Linked DNA regions of Oryctolagus cuniculus. The protein of the gene in region 3 binds, or shares a complex with, the protein of the main gene of each other region. Links are inferred from orthologs where the notes say so. Each region holds a gene or a part of one and is shown on either strand. Other genes may lie near its edges. The genes, in order: DVL2, SIAH1, AXIN1 and GSK3B.

Region 1 (4,120 bases), on a different chromosome or scaffold from region 3:
CTGGGCAGCGGGGACGGTGGGGTGCGGGGTGTTTGGATCCAAGAGCACAGGCAGGACATCCAGCAAACCTTCTTTCCCCAGGTGATGACTCATGGGACCTGATCACGTGTTACTGCCGGAAGCCCTTCGCAGGGCGGCCCATGATCGAGTGCAGCCTATGTGGGACGTGGATCCACCTCTCCTGTGCTAAGATTAAGAAGACCAATGTCCCTGACTTCTTTTATTGCCAGAAATGCAAGGAACTGCGGCCTGAGGCGCGGCGGTTAGGGGGGCTTCCCAAATCTGGAGAGCCCTGACACTGCCAACTCCAGGCTGGAACTGGCAAGTGACGATTCGGGAACTGAGCCTCGGGGGCTTCAGCCCATCCCCTGGAGTCTGGATGTGGTCCCCGCTTCAAGGCAGGAACGCCCAAGGCAGACTTCGGAAATGAGTCTCACGGTCCCTCCCTCCCCTCCCTCCCCAGCCTGTGGACTGGAGTGGACGTTGCGTTGGGCGTGGGAGGCTGTCGGGGGCCCCGGATGCAGCATCTTGGACCTGCCAGGGTTGGAATTGGGATGGACTGGGACAGCTGTCTATAAACTCTAGTGTAAATATAGCATTCCCCTCCCTCATCTTTTATTTTACTCCCAATTTATTTTCTTCTACACCGGTTGTATTTTTAATGTTGGACTTCCTCTTTCGAGCGTGGCGGCTCAGAGGTGGAGTGAGCCTGGCCAAGCGAGCAAGGAGAGCGGCAAGGTGACGGTCCTCACGCACCTCTTGTTTTTACTACTGGCCAGCCGTTTGTACAGACAGCCTGCGTGTTGTAAATAAAGCAGAGTGGGCTCTTTGTGTTTCTAGCCCTCCCTGACTGTCCTGCTTGGGGGGAGGCTCTGGGGGAGCTGGCCGCAGGGCACAAACCCACCTCGGCGTCCGGGCCTTCCCGCGCCGGGACACAACCCCAGGGGCTCCGTCGGCTTCTTCCCTCCACGCGCGCCCGCGGTCCCGCTGCTCCTGCACGGACGGTCGTGCGCAGTCGCTTCGCGTTCCCGCCCGGACGGCGCAGGGCGCCCCCCACCCCGAAGACGGAGGTCCCCAGGACACGGTGCCAGCCGGGAGGACCTCCGGTGGGGGATACGCTCGGGGGCGGAGTGGGTCGGGGCTGGGAGACCGTTGCTGAAGGCAGCGGTCACGTGGAGGGAGCGCTGGGAGGAGCCGAGTAGTCACGTGATGGCGGAGGGGTCACGTGGCGAAGGGCGGTGCAGGGAGCGCGAGGTGGGCGGGCTCGGGCCACGTGACATGAGGCGAGGTGGGCGGGGCCCTGGAGGGCGCTCGCGACGTCGGCGGCGGTGGCGCGCGGCGGCTGAGTGCGCCGCTCCGGGGCGCGTCGCGCGGCCCGCCACCCTGCCGCACCCCGCCGCCTCCCCGCTGCCCCACGCCCACACTGGCTCTGTCGCGTCCGCGCTCCGGTCGGGGTTCGAGTGTGCGCAGGCGCGGCGGGCCGCAGATAGCCCCACTGGGTGGGCGGCGGAGCCCGGGAGCGCGCGGGCGAGACCATGGCGGGCAGCAGCACGGGGGGCGGAGGCGTCGGGGAGACGAAGGTGATTTACCACCTGGATGAGGAGGAGACTCCCTACCTGGTGAAGATCCCAGTCCCCGCCGAGCGCATCACCCTTGGAGACTTCAAGAGCGTTCTGCAGCGGCCCGCGGGTGCTAAGTACTTTTTCAAGTCCATGGATCAGGATTTCGGGTGAGCGCGAGGCCTAGCCTGGGACTGACGGGGGCTGTACCCGCACGGATGGGGCGTTCTGCAGGGGGCACGGGTCTGCTCTGGGTTACACGGGTTTTCTGGCCTTCAGTGGATCGGATTGTGCCACACTGAGGCAGAGTGGCCGTCCCAGGACGGACAAGGTTATGCCTGGACAGATGGATGCACACGGAGCGATAAAGTGGAGAAGATTGGGCCATATGGAATAGGTGGGGGCGCGCAGGTTGGTTTTGGGGTGGTCGGGACTGAGCGTTTTCCTGTAGCACACAGCTTGTGTGGAGACAGCCTGCAGTCTCTTGACATAGCCGGGCTTGTGTTGGCGGCAGTTGGAACGTTGTGGCAGAGACAGGATTGTTTGGGGACTCCATGGAGTGTATGCATGCTAATGCAAAAAAAAAAAAAAAAAAAAAGTTGCGGTGTTCTAGGCTGCCTTGGAGTGGGCTACTGGACGGGCTGGGGTCATTCTGGTCTCTTGGTTGATCCTAACCTAATAACTCTTCTTCGGCACGCATCGGGGCACTTAGTACAGGGCAGATAAGGCTGTTGGGGCTTTTGCTAATACAGACAGCTGTATTGGGATAGTCTAGTCTATATTGGTGCAGACAGCTGCATGCAGGGACGTTGTAGGCTGTGCTAGAATAGATTGGGCTATCCTGGGGTAATTTGGGGATTCCTGGACTTGACTGGGACTGTAAATAACATATTCGAAGCCCTTTTGTTTTTCTCACTTTGGGGAATGACCACTCTTGTTTTGACTGCTCAGTTGTTTCACTGGCTGGCTAGATTGTGTTGATGGCTTGGATTTTAGGGGGACGGAACAAACTGGACTCTGCCTAAAAAGGTCGTTCAGCGTGGGGAGAGTGACAGTTGTCTTGGGAGTTATCTTGGGCTTAAATCAAAGCTCTTGGATTGGTCAGCAGTGTAATCTTGGGCAATTTCATTTACCTTTGTGCGTTGATTTTTCTCACATTTGAGATAATCACAGAGTGAAATGCTTAGTTCCCGCGCTTGGCACATGGGAAACTCTTGGGGCGTGGTCATCGTTGTCCTTGGCATTGAGGCCCACAGGTCCACAAACTCGGTTGTGGTGATACAGAATAGCCTGCCGTGGAGTGGGTTGAGCTGTGCCAAGATGGGTTATATTGGGAGAACACTAATTACACTGAAACAGATTGGTAGTGGCTGGGCCCTGTTGTCACATAACTAGCAAATGGATTCAGTTGGTGTATATACACACTCCCAGAGGCATATTAGGCTAAAGGGTTAATCAGACAAGATGTTCTGATTTGGGGAGGGGAGAGGGTGTGTTTGTGAGACAGAGGAGAAACCAGAGAATCTATTGGTTTGTGTGTTTTGTTTGTTTAGTCAACAAGTGTTAATGCTGCGTGGTCAGGGCGTGGTGTACAACAGAATGGGTGCTGCTGATTGCAAGGGGTGGTTGAGAAGAAAGGGGGGCAAGTCCAGTCCACTACAGGGAACACAGGGGAGCTGGTGGGGCTTTGGGGTCTTGAGACCCAGCATGTTGTTGAGAGCAGAGTTCTTCCAGGGGAGGCACAGGGGAACGGGAAGCCTGGCTTCCTCTCTTCTTCCCAGCTCTCAGCCTAAGGAGATGCTGTTGGTTCCTCTAATGGGCTTTTGTCCCCTGACAAAGACAGCACATCTGGACCACTCTCTGGAAGTGGATTAGAAAAAACTAAAGGGAAGTGGGAGAGTAGAAGCTTGTATGAGGTTGGGGAAGGTGTGTACGGAACAGGGCTGGGTTTGGGGACGGCTACCAGCAAGGCTCACTGGCAACCAGGTAACCACAGGGGTTGGCCTTCCAGTCATGCTGCAGGAAGTCTTTGGAGCAGCATTGCCCCTGAGGGCCAGCTGGGGCGAGCAGGCGAAACGTGGTGGGAGTGGGGTTTGGAGGTTGTTTCCCTAGGAGAGAGGGGGAACGAGGCAGGGGGTGGCCGGCATCCTTGAGCTGGGTGAAGACGGAGAAGCTGGCGGCGGGGGTGGCTGACCCAGCCTCGCTGACCTCGTCCTGTCTCCCGGCAGGGTGGTGAAGGAAGAAATTTCAGATGACAATGCCCGCCTGCCCTGCTTCAACGGAAGGGTGGTATCCTGGGTAAGGGCCCATTCCCTCTGGGTTCCCAGGCTGCTCCCAGCCTCATCTGTCTGTAGCCTCTCCCTGCCCAGTCATTGCCCTGGCCCTTTGCCTCCCTCCCTGTTTGGAGAGCCAGTGGGAGCTCCTCGGCTTTCTTCTGGAGCCTCTGCCATGAGGGGGCTTCAAAAACGTTCATGGGAAATGCATAGTATGAGAAAAGGATGCGTGGGCTTCAAAACAGGGTGCGTGGGCATGCGTCAAAATAAAGTTATTATTACTTTTTT
Region 2 (4,221 bases), on a different chromosome or scaffold from region 3:
ATTAAAAAAAAAAAAAAGAATTGATTAGATCTGTTTTTACTTTGGAGACACTTAGCTTTTTTTTTAAGATTTATTTTAGTTATTTGAAAGAGTTACAGAGAGAGGTAGAGAGAGGTCTTCCACCCGCTGGTTCACCCCCCAGTTGGCCACAACGGCCAGAGCTGAGCTGATCCAAAGCCAGGAGGCAGGAACTTCTTCCAGGTCTCCCACGTGGGTGCAGGGGCCCAAGCACTTGGGCCATCTTCTACTGCTTTCCCAGGCCATAGCAGAGAGCTGGATCAGAAGAGGAGCAGCTGGGACTAGAACCAGCGCCCATATGGGATGCCAGCGCTTCAGGCCAGGGCGTTAACCTGCTGTACCACAGCGCCAGCCCCCATGAGACACTTAGCTTTAAAAATACAGGGCCAGCATTGTGGCATAAAAGGTTAAGCAGCCCTATGAGCATTAGTTTGTGTCCTGTCTGCTCCAATTCGGATCCAGCTCCCTGCTAATGAGCCTGGGAAAACAGTGGAAGATGGCCCAAGTGCTTGGGCCCTTGCACCCACATGGAAGACCTTGAGCAAGCTCCTGACTCCTGGCTTTGGCTAAGTCCTGCCCCAGCTGTTGCAGCCATCTGGGGAGCAGACCTGGGGATGGAAGACCTCTCTCTCCGTCTCTCCTCTCTGAAACTCTGCCTTTCAAATAAATAAATCTTAAGAAAAATAGTTTTTATCTTTAATTACACTCTATTTCTGTTTAAAGAATTATTAAATGTTACTGAATTGTGCTGGAAATGTGCCAAAAAGGATCATTTAATGTAATCTTATGATACACATAAAGAAAAAAATTTTGACAAAGTATACTTTGAGGAAAAAATAACCTTTCTCGATACCAAAGTCTCTCTGTTTACATTTTCCATGAAAACCTAACACAAGCAATCTGGGCGTGCACTCAGTCTGGGCATCCATCAGAGTTCTCTCAGCGCTATCGGCAGTCCTCTCCATCGGACCCGGAAGCAGAATCTCCCTGATGAGGCTACCGGACCGTTACATGTGTCACCGAATTGCACTGTGCTCCTCAGTAACTTCTAAAAGAGATGGTGACACCACAGACACCTAACACTCAGTTAAAGGAACTCGGTGCCCCAGTTTGCCAAGTCAGTTAACTCAAGCCCTTGAAAGTAAATCAATCCTTAAATCGAAAATTGCCCAGTGGAAATCACATTTTGATCCACTTGGTTAAATCGCAGACCACAAAAGATCTAGTCGTTCAAAATGCCTTAGCATAGAAATTCCCAAAACGTCAAGTCCCAGAGGGCCTGTCAATTTACCATCTAAACCTCTTCTTTTCCTTTTTGACAGCGAAATACAGCAGAAGAAAAACCCAAGCGCTGATGAGTTATAGCATGAATCCCCAACTCCGGTCAAGGCACTTCCAACACATCCACGCTGCCAAGATAACCTTGTTTGTTATTAAACCTTAGCGGTGAGTGTGTGCAGAGCCCTTGCTATGGACCTGCCACCACACTAAGTGCTCAGCTAAGGATCACCCCACCAGGTACCCTCTCCCAACAACTCTCAACACATGCCCCAGGTAAGCGCTGTCATGACTCCCAGTTGCAGGTAAGAAAAAAGTAGCACTGAGGGATTAGGCATATCGCCCAAGGTCAGAAACCGGTGGAGCACGACTGGAACCCAAGCAGGCAGAGTCGGACTACAAAGTCTGTATCCCAGACACTCAACTGCGGAGAAGAGTTAAGAATGTACTCTTGACAGCCGCTTATCACGCAATGGTCAAGGTTCGACTGCCGGAAACAGGCAGACCACGGTCCTACATCCATGTGCACGCCTTCTGTGACTACAACCATCAACCACTCAATCTGATTTTCCCAGCACGCCAGCTGGACTTTTCCGAATGTCAGCGCAAACACATTCTTCCAGGAGCGGGCAGGCGGCAAAGAAAAAACCTATGCATCGCTGTGGCCGGGTACCCGCTTCCCTAAGTTATAAGCCCGGCAGAGTCAAGGAGGGACCTGCAACTACGCAGCACGTGAAGCCGAGGGAAAACAAGGTCTGCACTGAAAAGCTGGCGCTGCCCCGGCCGGCTGGCCGGGCGCTCCCCTCTCCAACGACGTAAACAAGGGAGGAGGCTGCATTCTTCCCACTGCACGACGAAGCCTCGGGCCAGAGCCAGAGGAAGCGCGCAGAACCATCGGCGACGGCTCCCGCCGGGGTCGGGCGCACCGAGCCGAGGCCAAGGACGGCCGAGCGGCCCGGCGCGCCGCGGGGAGGGGCCGGAGGGCAGGGCTGGCCGCTGCCCGCACTCAGCTGACCTCCGCCATGTTGGCCGCACACCCCGGGACCCTCCACAACAAAGGCCGGCACGAGGGCGCTGGGCGCGCCGGGCGCCTCCCCCGGCCGGGCCCGCCTCCCCGGCGCGCGGGGGCCCAGCCGGGGCGCCTCCCCCGGACCGACCCCCGCCGCGGCCCCACCGGGACGGCCCGGGCGCCGGGGGCGGGGGGAGCCGGCTCGGCGCGGCGGCCGCGGCCGCGGCGACGGCGGGCAGGGGAGGGGCGGGGGGCGGCGCTCGGCCCAGCGGCCCGGCTCCGGCCGAGACAAAGACGCCGCGGCGCCGGGGGCCGCCCGCACCCCGGCCCCGCCGCCCGCCGCCATTATCGGGCCCGGGAACCCTCCTCCCGGAGAGCCCCTCGCCGCCGGCTCCTCCCTCCAGGCCGGGCCCCACTTACCTGTGGGCGGAGAGCGCGCCTCGGACCCCAGTCCTGGCTCAAACGCGCTCCGTCGCCAACCCCCGCCACCGCGGGCAGCGCCACCGTCTCTTCCCAGCGCCGAGACACACCGGACACCCTGGGCCGCCGCCGCCGCCGCCGCCGCCGCCGCCGCCACCGCCGCCACCGCTCGAGAGCGCGCCCCGCAACGGCCGCCCCGGCTCCCCCCCTGGCCGCCGCCGCCGCCGCCGTTTCGCGCGTCCTCGAGCGCGCCGCGCGCCCCCGCTAAATACCACACACTGCGGCGGCCGCCATGAGGAGGCGCGGCCCCGCGCGCTGGGAGCCCGGAGGGGGCGGGGCTTCCGCGGGCGCGCAGGCGCAGAGGCGCCGGCGCGACCGGCAGCTGCGCGCGCGGGCCTCGGCGTGCAGGGCTCGCGGGGTGGCAGCCGGCGCCGCGGCTCCTCCGTTACCAGCGCTGAGCTGCGCGCTGAACGCCCGACACACGCCCCGTCGCGTCACGCTCTCCGCCGCCACCGGCCGGGCGAAAGACGGGCTCACGGGCGGCTGGTGCGGGGCACCCGTTCCGCGCCCACCCCCGCGGGGCTTTGTTCCAGGGCCCGAGGGGTCGTCCCGCGCCCCGCCGGAATGCTAGCCCGGGGCTGGCTGCCGCCCCTGGCAGGGCTGCCTGCTGCTATTTATGGCTCCTTCTGTTTTGTGTGCGGGTTTCGCGCAGCGCCTCCACGGGGAAAGCATACGGCCACCCGCCGGGACCCCACCCTCCAGGGGACGAGGTCCACGCCTTGGCCCTGGGTGTGGGCCGCCCTTCCGTGTCTCAGCGGAGGCGTTCTCACGCAGCGGCGAAGTCCCCTGTGGGGGCCTCTGCATTCCTCCTCCTCCTCACATAAAGCAGTAAGGAAAGCGTCATTTGCAAGGCTCTGGTGGGTGCAATAAGTCTGAAACGTGTACAAATCCCGATTGGCTCTCCGTGCGAAGTCTGTAGGAAACGGGACTTTTCGTGCGGGGTTTGAGGCGCCAGGGACTGGCCCACGGTCGCCATCGTCGGGGCAAGCCTCTCTCGGGGGCGGGTTTCCGTGCCAGCGCTGCCCAGCCAAAGGCACGCGAACTCCAGTGCCCTGCACCAACGTGTGGCCTGCACCTGTGCTGAGTTCTGCTCGTGTTCCCCGCCCAGTATTGCGCTGACTGGCTGCTCGCTCCCTCTGGGACCAGGAGCACATAACACCCACACAGCGTTTCTTGAGGGAGCTGGTCCCCAAAGCCGGCAAGTCAGGGGTCCAGGTGGGTGAGTCCGGTCCCTCCAAGCAGTTACTGGTCGCTGCTTTCATCTGCTCGGAGATGTTCTGTCACCAAGTGGGGTGGCCTGTTTTGCTCTCATTCATTCATTCTACCAAATACCAGGCACCATGCTAGGTTCTGAGAACACAGCGGCCCCTCCCCCATTCATGGGCTATATACAATCTGGGGAGGCACCAACATCGATAAATCTCATAAATGTCTCA
Region 3 (3,983 bases):
CTAATGCCCGCGGGAAAGCACGGAACGTGGTCCACGTGCTTGGCCCCTGCACCCATGTGGGAGACCAGGATGAGACTCCCGGCTCCTGACTCAGCTCACCTAGTTCTGGTAGTTGTGGACACGTGAGGAGTGAACCAGCAGACGGAAGATCTCTCTCTCCCTCTCTATCTCTGACTTTCAAATAAATAAATCTTCAAAACAAAAAAAGTTTAAACCTTAGAAATGCTTAGTGCTGTTTTATCAGAAAGCAGCCGACTCCTCTGTCCCAGTGCAGAGAGGAGAGCTGGTCCAGTGCACGGCAACTGCACGGGCAGCCGCGACACTAAGGGGCGTGTCCTCCGAGTTCTGTCTAGATCAGCAGGGGCCACCCAAGCTCCAAGCTGTCAACGCTGCGCAGGTGCCAGCTCCTGGGGACAGGGGGGAAGCGCAAGAACTCTGCTCCCAGGAGGAACACACACCAGCAGCAGCCCAACGGCTCCCTGTAATCACGGAGGGTCACGGGAAAAAAGAAAAGCCGCGGTTCCAAAGCTCTAACACTGGGGACGCCCCAGGTGTCCACACAGGCGGGAACAGTCCAGACACCGCGGGTGCCCTCACCCATGGGAGAACACAGGCGGGAACAGTCCAGACACCGTGGGTGCCCTCACCCATGGGAGAACACAGGAGGGAACAGTCCAGACACCCGTGGGTGCCCTCACCCATGGGAGAACACAGGAGGGAACAGTCCAGAGACACCGTGGGTGCCCTCACCCATGGGAGAACACAGGCGGGGACAGTCCAGACACCGTGGGTGCCCTCACCCATGGGAGAACACAGGCGGGGACAGTCCAGACACCGTGGGTGCCCTCACCCATGGGAGAACACAGGCGGGGACAGTCCAGACACCGTGGGTGCCCTCACCCATGGGAGAACAGAGGCGGGAACAGTCCAGACACCGCGGGTGCCCTCACCCATGGGAGAACACAGGAGGGAACAGTCCAAAGACACCCGTGGGTGCCCTCACCCATGGGAGAACACAGGCGGGGACAGTCCAGAGACACCGTGGGTGCCCTCACCCATGGGAGAACACAGGCGGGGACAGTCCAGACACCGTGGGTGCCCTCACCCATGGGAGAACACAGGCGGGGACAGTCCAGACACCGTGGGTGCCCTCACCCATGGGAGAACACAGGCGGGGACAGTCCAGACACCGTGGGTGCCCTCACCCATGGGAGAACACAGGCGGGGACAGTCCAGACACCCGTGGGTGCCCTCACCCATGGGAGAACACAGGCGGGAACAGTCCAGACACCGTGGGTGCCCTCACCCATGGGAGAACAGCCAAGGTCACCCCCTGGGTACTGTGAACTCTGCGCCTCCCAGCAGCACTGCCATGTCAGGCAGGCAGAGATCTGACCCTGCGGCTCCAGCCACAGCTGCAGAAGTCTTCAGAGGACCTGGCAACCCCCCACACAAAGGTCTCAGCACTGTTCCTGGCCTCTAGGGAGCACCTCAGCACGCCACTATCGCGGGGAATGATCCAGAATTCCCCAGCTACCAGTGCATTCAGACGGCCACTCCTCCCTTTACCAAGCCGAAGCACGAGACCCACCCGGTAAGCCCCCAGGACTTCAGAGCGGTGGGTCTCAGTGCAGGTGTCAGCAGTAGTGCTCACGACCTCCACACCCAGGCTTCTTATCTGTTCTTGATCAAGGCGTTCTGGACAACACGACCATAAAAACCGCTACTGAACGTGCAAGTACCACGCGTCAGAATCAGAGTCCTAAGTCAGCCCCAAGGGCAGCCGGGCACTCAGCCCACTGGTCGCCCACACCTTGCCCTTGCCCGCTCTCCAGGTCTCAGGCGAGGACCGAAAAGGGACACCTGGTGCCCACTCACCTGAACTCTCTGCCTTCGCTGTACCGTCTCCCTGAGGAGGCCCTCGGGGCAGCCGTCTCCATGAGCAGCTTCTGGGTGAGCCTGCTGGGAGGCGCCGCGTCCCGCGCTTCCTCCTCGTCCGTGTCCTGGTCACACTTCCACTCCTCGTCTTCATTCAGAGTGGGCAGGTATCCAGACAGGCCCTTCCCTGTGCCTGACCCAGAGCTCTGGTCACTACAGACCTTTGGGCTCTCCGAGCCTGTCCTCGTGTACTCCAAATAAATGTCAGACTTGAGGAAGGAGGGGTAGGTGTTCTCCTCCATGGTGGCCTGGATCTCCGTCTGGGCCTGGTCGAACATGGCGGGGTCGACCTGCTGCCTCACGATGCAGTCCTTGATGAAGCTCTTGGTGGCCGGCTTGGTGTGCCTGGACACGATGCCAGTGCTGTCCAGGATGTACTTGCGGTAGATGGCTCTAGCCAGCTTCAGCCTCTTCTCCTCATTCGCATCGCAGGGCTCCAGCTTCCTGAAGCCACTGCAGGCAAACCAGAAGTCCAGAAGGTCAGCACAGCCCTCCTGCTTGAGGAAAGTCCTGAACAGGCTGATCCCGTCTTGATCGTCCAGCAGGGAGTGCAGGGACTCGGCCCACTTCAAGTATGGCGGCGTGGGAGACGCACTGCCCTCGGGCTCATACCCCAGGTCCAGATCCGAGCGCCTTGGAGTAGCCGTCGAAGTCTCAGCTTTAACGCCAGCAGCTTTGCCGGAGCAGAAGCTGTGGCTGGCGGGCCTCGGGTCTGTGGACACCAGTTCTCCCTCCTCCCCAGGCACCGGGGGCCGGGGGGCATCTTCGGTGAAACTTGCTCCGAGGTCCAGGGGGAAACCCTGCTCCTGGACGCTCATCGTGGGACTCTGTGCGGCAAGCGACAGCGAGCGCCGCCCCCTAAAGCATCCGTGCTCGCAGCTCGCGGTGAGTCAGGCCGTCCTGCGGGAACCAGAGAGGACGCGGGTTAGGAAAAGGTGGGCCCCCGCACACACGGCCGAGGGGCTCCCTCCAGACGAGACTGGCGATGACCCAAAGCCAGAAAGTCCGTGTACAGTTGAAACGGAGACACATTTTGGCCGCAAGGTTTGCTCCACATCAAAACAATCCCTGCAGACTCCTACAACCACAGGAACGCTTCTCATGCCAAGGGAGCACCCAGAGCACAGAGAACGCACTGCCTCCAGCAGCACTCTGAGCACCGCAGAGGCCCTCCGAGCGGGCCGAAGAGCTGAGTGAGCAGGAGGGCAGGAAGGCCGGTGGGGGGGGGGGGGGGGCTTTCAGGTGAGAGCTGGTCCCTCACACACCCGGGACAGTCACCCCAGTCAGACGACACGCAGATGAGAGGGGGAGCCCCGACACCCACTGCGGGGAGGCCGCTCTGGCTCCCACACCGGCCAGGCCCACAGCCAGGGTTCCTGCCTCCTGTTTCACCTCACACACGGGGGCCGTGCAGCACGTGCGAACAGACCGCAGGAGCAGCCGACCGGGGGTCACCTTCAGCACCACGAACCCGGGGATGGAAAACACCCCCCACGCACAGAGCAGCCTTCCCCACGCGGCCTCTCTCCTAAAAGACGCACTCAAGAGGCAGAGGGACAAGCAGGCAGAGGGCTCCCCTCTGCTGATTCACTCCTCAAACGCCCACAACGGCGGGGCCGGGGCCGGGGCCCGGCTGAAGCCAGAAGCTGGGGATTCAATCCAGTCTCCCACATGGACGGAAGGACACAACCTGGCACAACACTTGCTACCTCCCAGCGTCTGCGAAGACAGGAAGCTGGAATCAGAACTGGAGCTGGGAACAAGCAGACGCTCTGACACAGGACACCAGGCCATGTCTGCCCAGGAAATGCCCTCCTGACAGCAAACGGTACCCAGGGACCTCCGGGACAGAAACGATTTAGAAAAAAATGAAAGGCAAATGCAACTGCACTGCTAAGGAACCATGCAACTCACAGGACAACTCTAGAGCAACACCAAGCACTCAGCCCCTTGGAGGCCGGGGAACTGCGAGTTTTGGGTGCTGCGCCCACAAGGGACACGCAGACTTTGCTAGATCATGACACAGTCAGGACTCTGCCACGGTC
Region 4 (4,022 bases), on a different chromosome or scaffold from region 3:
GAAGACTCAGACTGAGTTCCAGCTCCTGCCTTAGGCCTGGTCCAGCCCTGGCTGTTGTGACCATTTGTGGAGTGAAGCAGCAGATGAGAAGATCTGTCTCTCTGCCTTTCCAATAAAATTAAAATAAATAAAGTTTATAAAAAAAAAAAACTGTTCAGAGCTCTCATGAATGTCAAACTTTTTCAGACCCCTTGCCCTCTGTCAGCTATCCTTCCAATATTTCTCAAATTTTACCTGTTATTTTCCTACTTAGGCTTTTATAATTCAGATTTACCAGCTTATTTATTGCCTCTCCTACAAAACTCACCATCTCTGTGCCTGGAGTCCTTTCACCTAGAATCTTTCATGCTTCTCCACCAATTCAAGACACAGCCTTCTTTAACACCTGTCTTAAAAGCACACCTTCTCTACAGGAAGCCTTCTCCCTCCAATGCATGTCTCACCCCTTTATTCTTTGTCCCTCTGAACAAAGGATTCAATTTGTATTTTGCCTTGCAGTCGTAATGCCATTGTTTTCATTGTTTTTCCCATAAATTGCCTCTACTACTAAGTGACCAGCTTTTTTTGAAGCCAAGGACTATAATTTCATATGTATCTCTTTTGAACATGGGTCCTGAAAACACCAGCACCTAACAAATGCCTAATGACTCCCCTTTCTTCTAAATATCCCTAAAGCTAGGCTTATCAAAAATGCATATTCAGCAATAAATTCCAACTTTTTAAATATTAAGTTGAAGGACATGATAACAGAAAATCAAACATTTTAACCTACATACTTTACAAAAATCACACCATTCTTGGTCAACATGTATGCCATCAAGAATTAAGGAGTCATCTTCAAAGAAAATCCTAGAAACAAAATATAAAATCCCAGAATTTAGCATTATACACTAGCATTATAGATCTCTGAAATACATCTAATAATTATATTCCTAAAACTGACTTTCAGTGTTTTTTAATTATTACCAAGATGTAAAACATACAATCACTGCAGTATCACAAGAGGCTCTTAATTAGCTATTGTAATATTTGCTTCATCATAGCTAAAAATTACCCCCAGAATAAAAAACTTCTTTCAAATGACCCCATGAAGGGCTTAGAAAGCATGACCCTTCTCTAAAAAGATGCATAATCAGCTTCCCTCTTTACATACTCTGCATTCTCTACTAGCTAGTCACTGAAAAAAAAATTAACTCAAAAATAATCTCCCATTCAGCTATTACCTTGGACTATCCTGTTTCAGGCAAGTTCCAAAAGCCAAAGTGATTGGAATCTTGAGTTCAATTAAAAGTAAACATTTTATATTGCTTAAGGATGTAATCAAGTCCACATAACAGAATCTACTGTTTAAGGCTCTTCAGTTCTCTTAGCTCCTCTAGGCAACAAAATAGTTTGCCCTCTTCATGCCCCTTTCTCAGAGAATAAGGAAACAATATAAACATTTTTTTTTGTCAAAATCTGGAAGTATATTTAAATAACCTGCCATTAATTGCCACACAAACCCCTTCACAAACAGAGCTCTGTGGGATCACTGGATACTTAGTATAACAAACACCTCAAGAAAACAGACTTTGTGAAAGTACAGTCTGGTAACAACCCTGAGACCACATCCCAGACAGCCCTACCATTTCCAGAAGGACAACCTTCTGCAAAAACTATGATGGAAAGGACTAAATCTATGTTCCTCTAACTAAATTCAATCTTATCTACAAGAAAACTGATGCAAGGATATTTTAAGTATTCCTAAAAAGGAATCCTCTGTACTCTAGAATATTTTAACAAGTAACAAATGCAACAGCACGTCAAAATTGAACTTAAATGACAATGAGTCAGTGACAATTAACATTTAACTTAGTATCTGGCATTATGACAACATACGCCTCAATCAAAACTTGGACCTCCTTCCAAGTTACCTTTTGATTAAACAAATTATATGGTGGCAGATTGGTAATGCCAAAACAGGAAGGTTAAGAGATAACAGATTAAACCACTTATCCAATTCAAGACAATGTATTTGGAGATGCTACTGCTGCTGGATATTTATCTGTTCCCATCAGCCCCTTGTAAAGGGAGGGAGCGATGATCACCTCCACACATGAATGCTGGTTACTGAGCAAGTTCATCCCCAGGTTAAGAACAAATACTTTGTATAGTTACACCAGCACGAAGAGAAACGTTAGGAGACTGGGACATTTCATGTCTCCATGAAGTACACAAAGCTGTGATAACCCGAGACTTGAGCTAACCAGAATTTCCTCCCTCGTTCCAAAAGACAAACACTCTGCAAATGCACATAATGGTTTATGAGTCGTTTAGTCCTCTTTATTCAAAAGGGTCGGCAAGCAAACGCTTCCATCACAATTTCCAAGTGGAAACACCCAAGCACTGGATAAAGGCGACCATCAGTAGCAAGGAAAGCACAAGAAACGTTTCAAATCGAATCATCGAAATAAAAATCGTACTCTCTGAACTCAAGGTTAATGAGACCGAGGGAGGGGGTTATGGGAGGAGAAAAGAGGGAGCTGCCTCATCCTCGACTGAAGACAGGTCTTGCTCTTTTCCATTAGCTCTGGTGAGTGTTCCATCAGGTCTAGTATGTTAAGGTTCTAGGACTTCGAGGTTGCTTATTTTAGGGGTGAGACGGAGAAGGGGTGTAAAATAAAATCAATACTCACTGCTAACTTTCATGCTGCCAAAAGCTGAAGGCTGCTGCACTGGCTTGCAGCTCTCCGCAAAGGAGGTGGTTCTGGGCCGCCCTGACATGATCACTCTCTTCCCGAATCACCTTTTCCTTCCTTCCTCCTTTTCTTCCTTTTGTTTTATATTGGGGTGTTAGGTTAATGATAAATGCAGCATTAAGTTCTCCCACAAGAAAGGAAAAAAAAAGACTTCGTCCTCTTGGCTTTTCACTTCTTTTGTATAGCTATATTAAAAAAAAAAAAAAAAAAAAAAAAAACACGAGCGATGTATTCTCCTTCAAGACGGATCCGTACGGATATTTAACATATAGATGATTTGGGGCTGGGGGAGGGGAAAAAAAAAACACAATTCTTTCCCCTCCCTTTCCTGGGAGGGGGGACTCCTTAAAAAAAATCACGTGAAATGGGGACAAATACTTGATTGAAAATAAGTACTTTGGATTTTATATTTTCCTCGGGGATTTTTTTCCGAGTCAATGAAGAAGGGAAGCGGCGGAAGGATCACGAGTCTCACGCTTGAAGAGAAGGGGGGATGGGAAGGAGGGAGGGAGAGGGAGGGGGCGGCTCGGAGATGCGACGGGAAACGCTGCGGCTCCGGCAGCGGCGGGATCCGGCGGGGGCCCGGCGTCCTGGAGGGCGGCGGCGTCGCGAGTCAGTCAGAGGCGGGCGGCGGCGGCGGCTCCTCTCCTCATTGCGCCAGGAGCAGCTGCAGGCGGCGGCTGGATCCAGCGGCCATGGCGGCGGCGGTGGCGGAGGCAGCTCCCTTCAGACCCCAGGCAGCGGCTCCTCGACTGCTCCCCATACGCCGGGGACATGGGAACCCGGCAACCGCTTCCGTCTCCCTCGGGGCCCCCTCCCCCGTCCAAAGCACCAGCGCGGCCGCCCTCACGCCCCGCGCCTCAGCTCCGTGTCCGCTGAGGAAGTGTCCGTGCTGTGCCCCCAGTCCGGAGCCCTGTCAGCGGCTGCGGGGCCGGCTCCTCCTCGCTTCCTTCCTTCCTTTGTCACTCGGCCCGGGCGGCGGCGGCGGCAGCGGCAGCGGCAGCACAAACCCGCATTCGCCCGGGTCGGGGGCTGCTCTGTGTGAGGAGCTCCGTCTGCGCAGCCGCCTAGCGCCTTCCCCCCTCCCCCTCCCTCTCCCCGCCTCCTACTCGTCCTCCGCCTCCTTCCTCCCCCACCCAGCCTTATACCGCCCCGCGCCCCGCCGCCCGCGTAACAGGCGTCTGGGAATCGCCGGCCGAGCCCAACGCCCGCCCTCTTCGGCGGCGGAGCCGAACCCCCAGCGAAGCCAATCACGGGCGTCGTTTCTTTACGGCTCCTCCCGGA

Evidence for each region.
Region 1: the proteins of AXIN1 (region 3) and DVL2 are in contact, whole or in part, in a crystal structure (PDB 6JCK), measured with the Homo sapiens proteins. The link is inferred for Oryctolagus cuniculus from reciprocal best matches to the Homo sapiens genes AXIN1 and DVL2. Residues at the interface, in NP_003493.1 of Homo sapiens: Arg821, Tyr823, Lys825, Lys826, Glu830, Phe831, Val835, Val836, Phe837, Glu838, Glu839, Lys857, Glu859, Asp862; in NP_004413.1 of Homo sapiens: Lys15, Ile17, Tyr18, Glu23, Glu24, Thr25, Pro26, Tyr27, Leu28, Val29, Val46, Leu47, Gln48, Arg49, Pro50, Phe81, Arg84.
Region 2: the proteins of AXIN1 (region 3) and SIAH1 are in contact, whole or in part, in a crystal structure (PDB 5WZZ), measured with the Homo sapiens proteins. The link is inferred for Oryctolagus cuniculus from reciprocal best matches to the Homo sapiens genes AXIN1 and SIAH1. Residues at the interface, in NP_003493.1 of Homo sapiens: Pro378, Lys379, Glu380, Val381, Arg382, Val383, Glu384, Pro385, Gln386, Lys387; in NP_003022.3 of Homo sapiens: Cys130, Pro131, Ser154, Thr156, Leu158, Asp162, Ile163, Val164, Phe165, Leu166, Ala167, Thr168, Asp169, Val176, Asp177, Trp178, Val179, Met180, Asn272.
Region 4: the proteins of AXIN1 (region 3) and GSK3B are in contact, whole or in part, in a crystal structure (PDB 4B7T), measured with the Homo sapiens proteins. The link is inferred for Oryctolagus cuniculus from reciprocal best matches to the Homo sapiens genes AXIN1 and GSK3B. Residues at the interface, in NP_003493.1 of Homo sapiens: Glu384, Pro385, Gln386, Phe388, Ala389, Glu391, Leu392, Ile393, Arg395, Leu396, Glu397, Val399, Gln400; in NP_001139628.1 of Homo sapiens: Ile228, Phe229, Val263, Asp264, Leu266, Val267, Ile270, Lys271, Asn287, Tyr288, Phe291, Lys292, Phe293, Pro294, Gln295, Ile296.

The regions. Positions count from the first base shown.
Region 1 is NC_091448.1:51,839,494-51,843,613, reverse strand, and holds the start of DVL2 (segment polarity protein dishevelled homolog DVL-2), read left to right. Parts: upstream 1-1,314; 5' UTR 1,315-1,535; coding exon 1,536-1,729; intron 1,730-3,787; coding exon 3,788-3,857; intron 3,858-4,120. Other genes in the region: PHF23 (PHD finger protein 23), read left to right, coding at 82-296.
Region 2 is NC_091449.1:32,126,221-32,130,441, forward strand, and holds the start of SIAH1 (E3 ubiquitin-protein ligase SIAH1), read right to left. Parts: upstream 2,843-4,221; 5' UTR 2,726-2,842; intron 2,146-2,725; exon of another isoform or gene 1,722-2,145; intron 1-1,721. UniProt on the Homo sapiens protein: E3 ubiquitin-protein ligase that mediates ubiquitination and subsequent proteasomal degradation of target proteins.
Region 3 is NC_091450.1:34,296,367-34,300,349, reverse strand, and holds the start of AXIN1 (axin-1), read right to left. Parts: upstream 2,828-3,983; 5' UTR 2,757-2,827; coding exon 1,879-2,756; intron 1-1,878. UniProt on the Homo sapiens protein: Component of the beta-catenin destruction complex required for regulating CTNNB1 levels through phosphorylation and ubiquitination, and modulating Wnt-signaling.
Region 4 is NC_091435.1:76,548,007-76,552,028, forward strand, and holds the start of GSK3B (glycogen synthase kinase-3 beta), read right to left. Parts: upstream 2,815-4,022; 5' UTR 2,764-2,814; coding exon 2,676-2,763; intron 1-2,675. Other genes in the region: transcription factor SOX-4, read left to right, coding at 3,176-4,022. UniProt on the Homo sapiens protein: Constitutively active protein kinase that acts as a negative regulator in the hormonal control of glucose homeostasis, Wnt signaling and regulation of transcription factors and microtubules, by phosphorylating and inactivating glycogen synthase (GYS1 or GYS2), EIF2B, CTNNB1/beta-catenin, APC, AXIN1, DPYSL2/CRMP2, JUN, NFATC1/NFATC, MAPT/TAU and MACF1.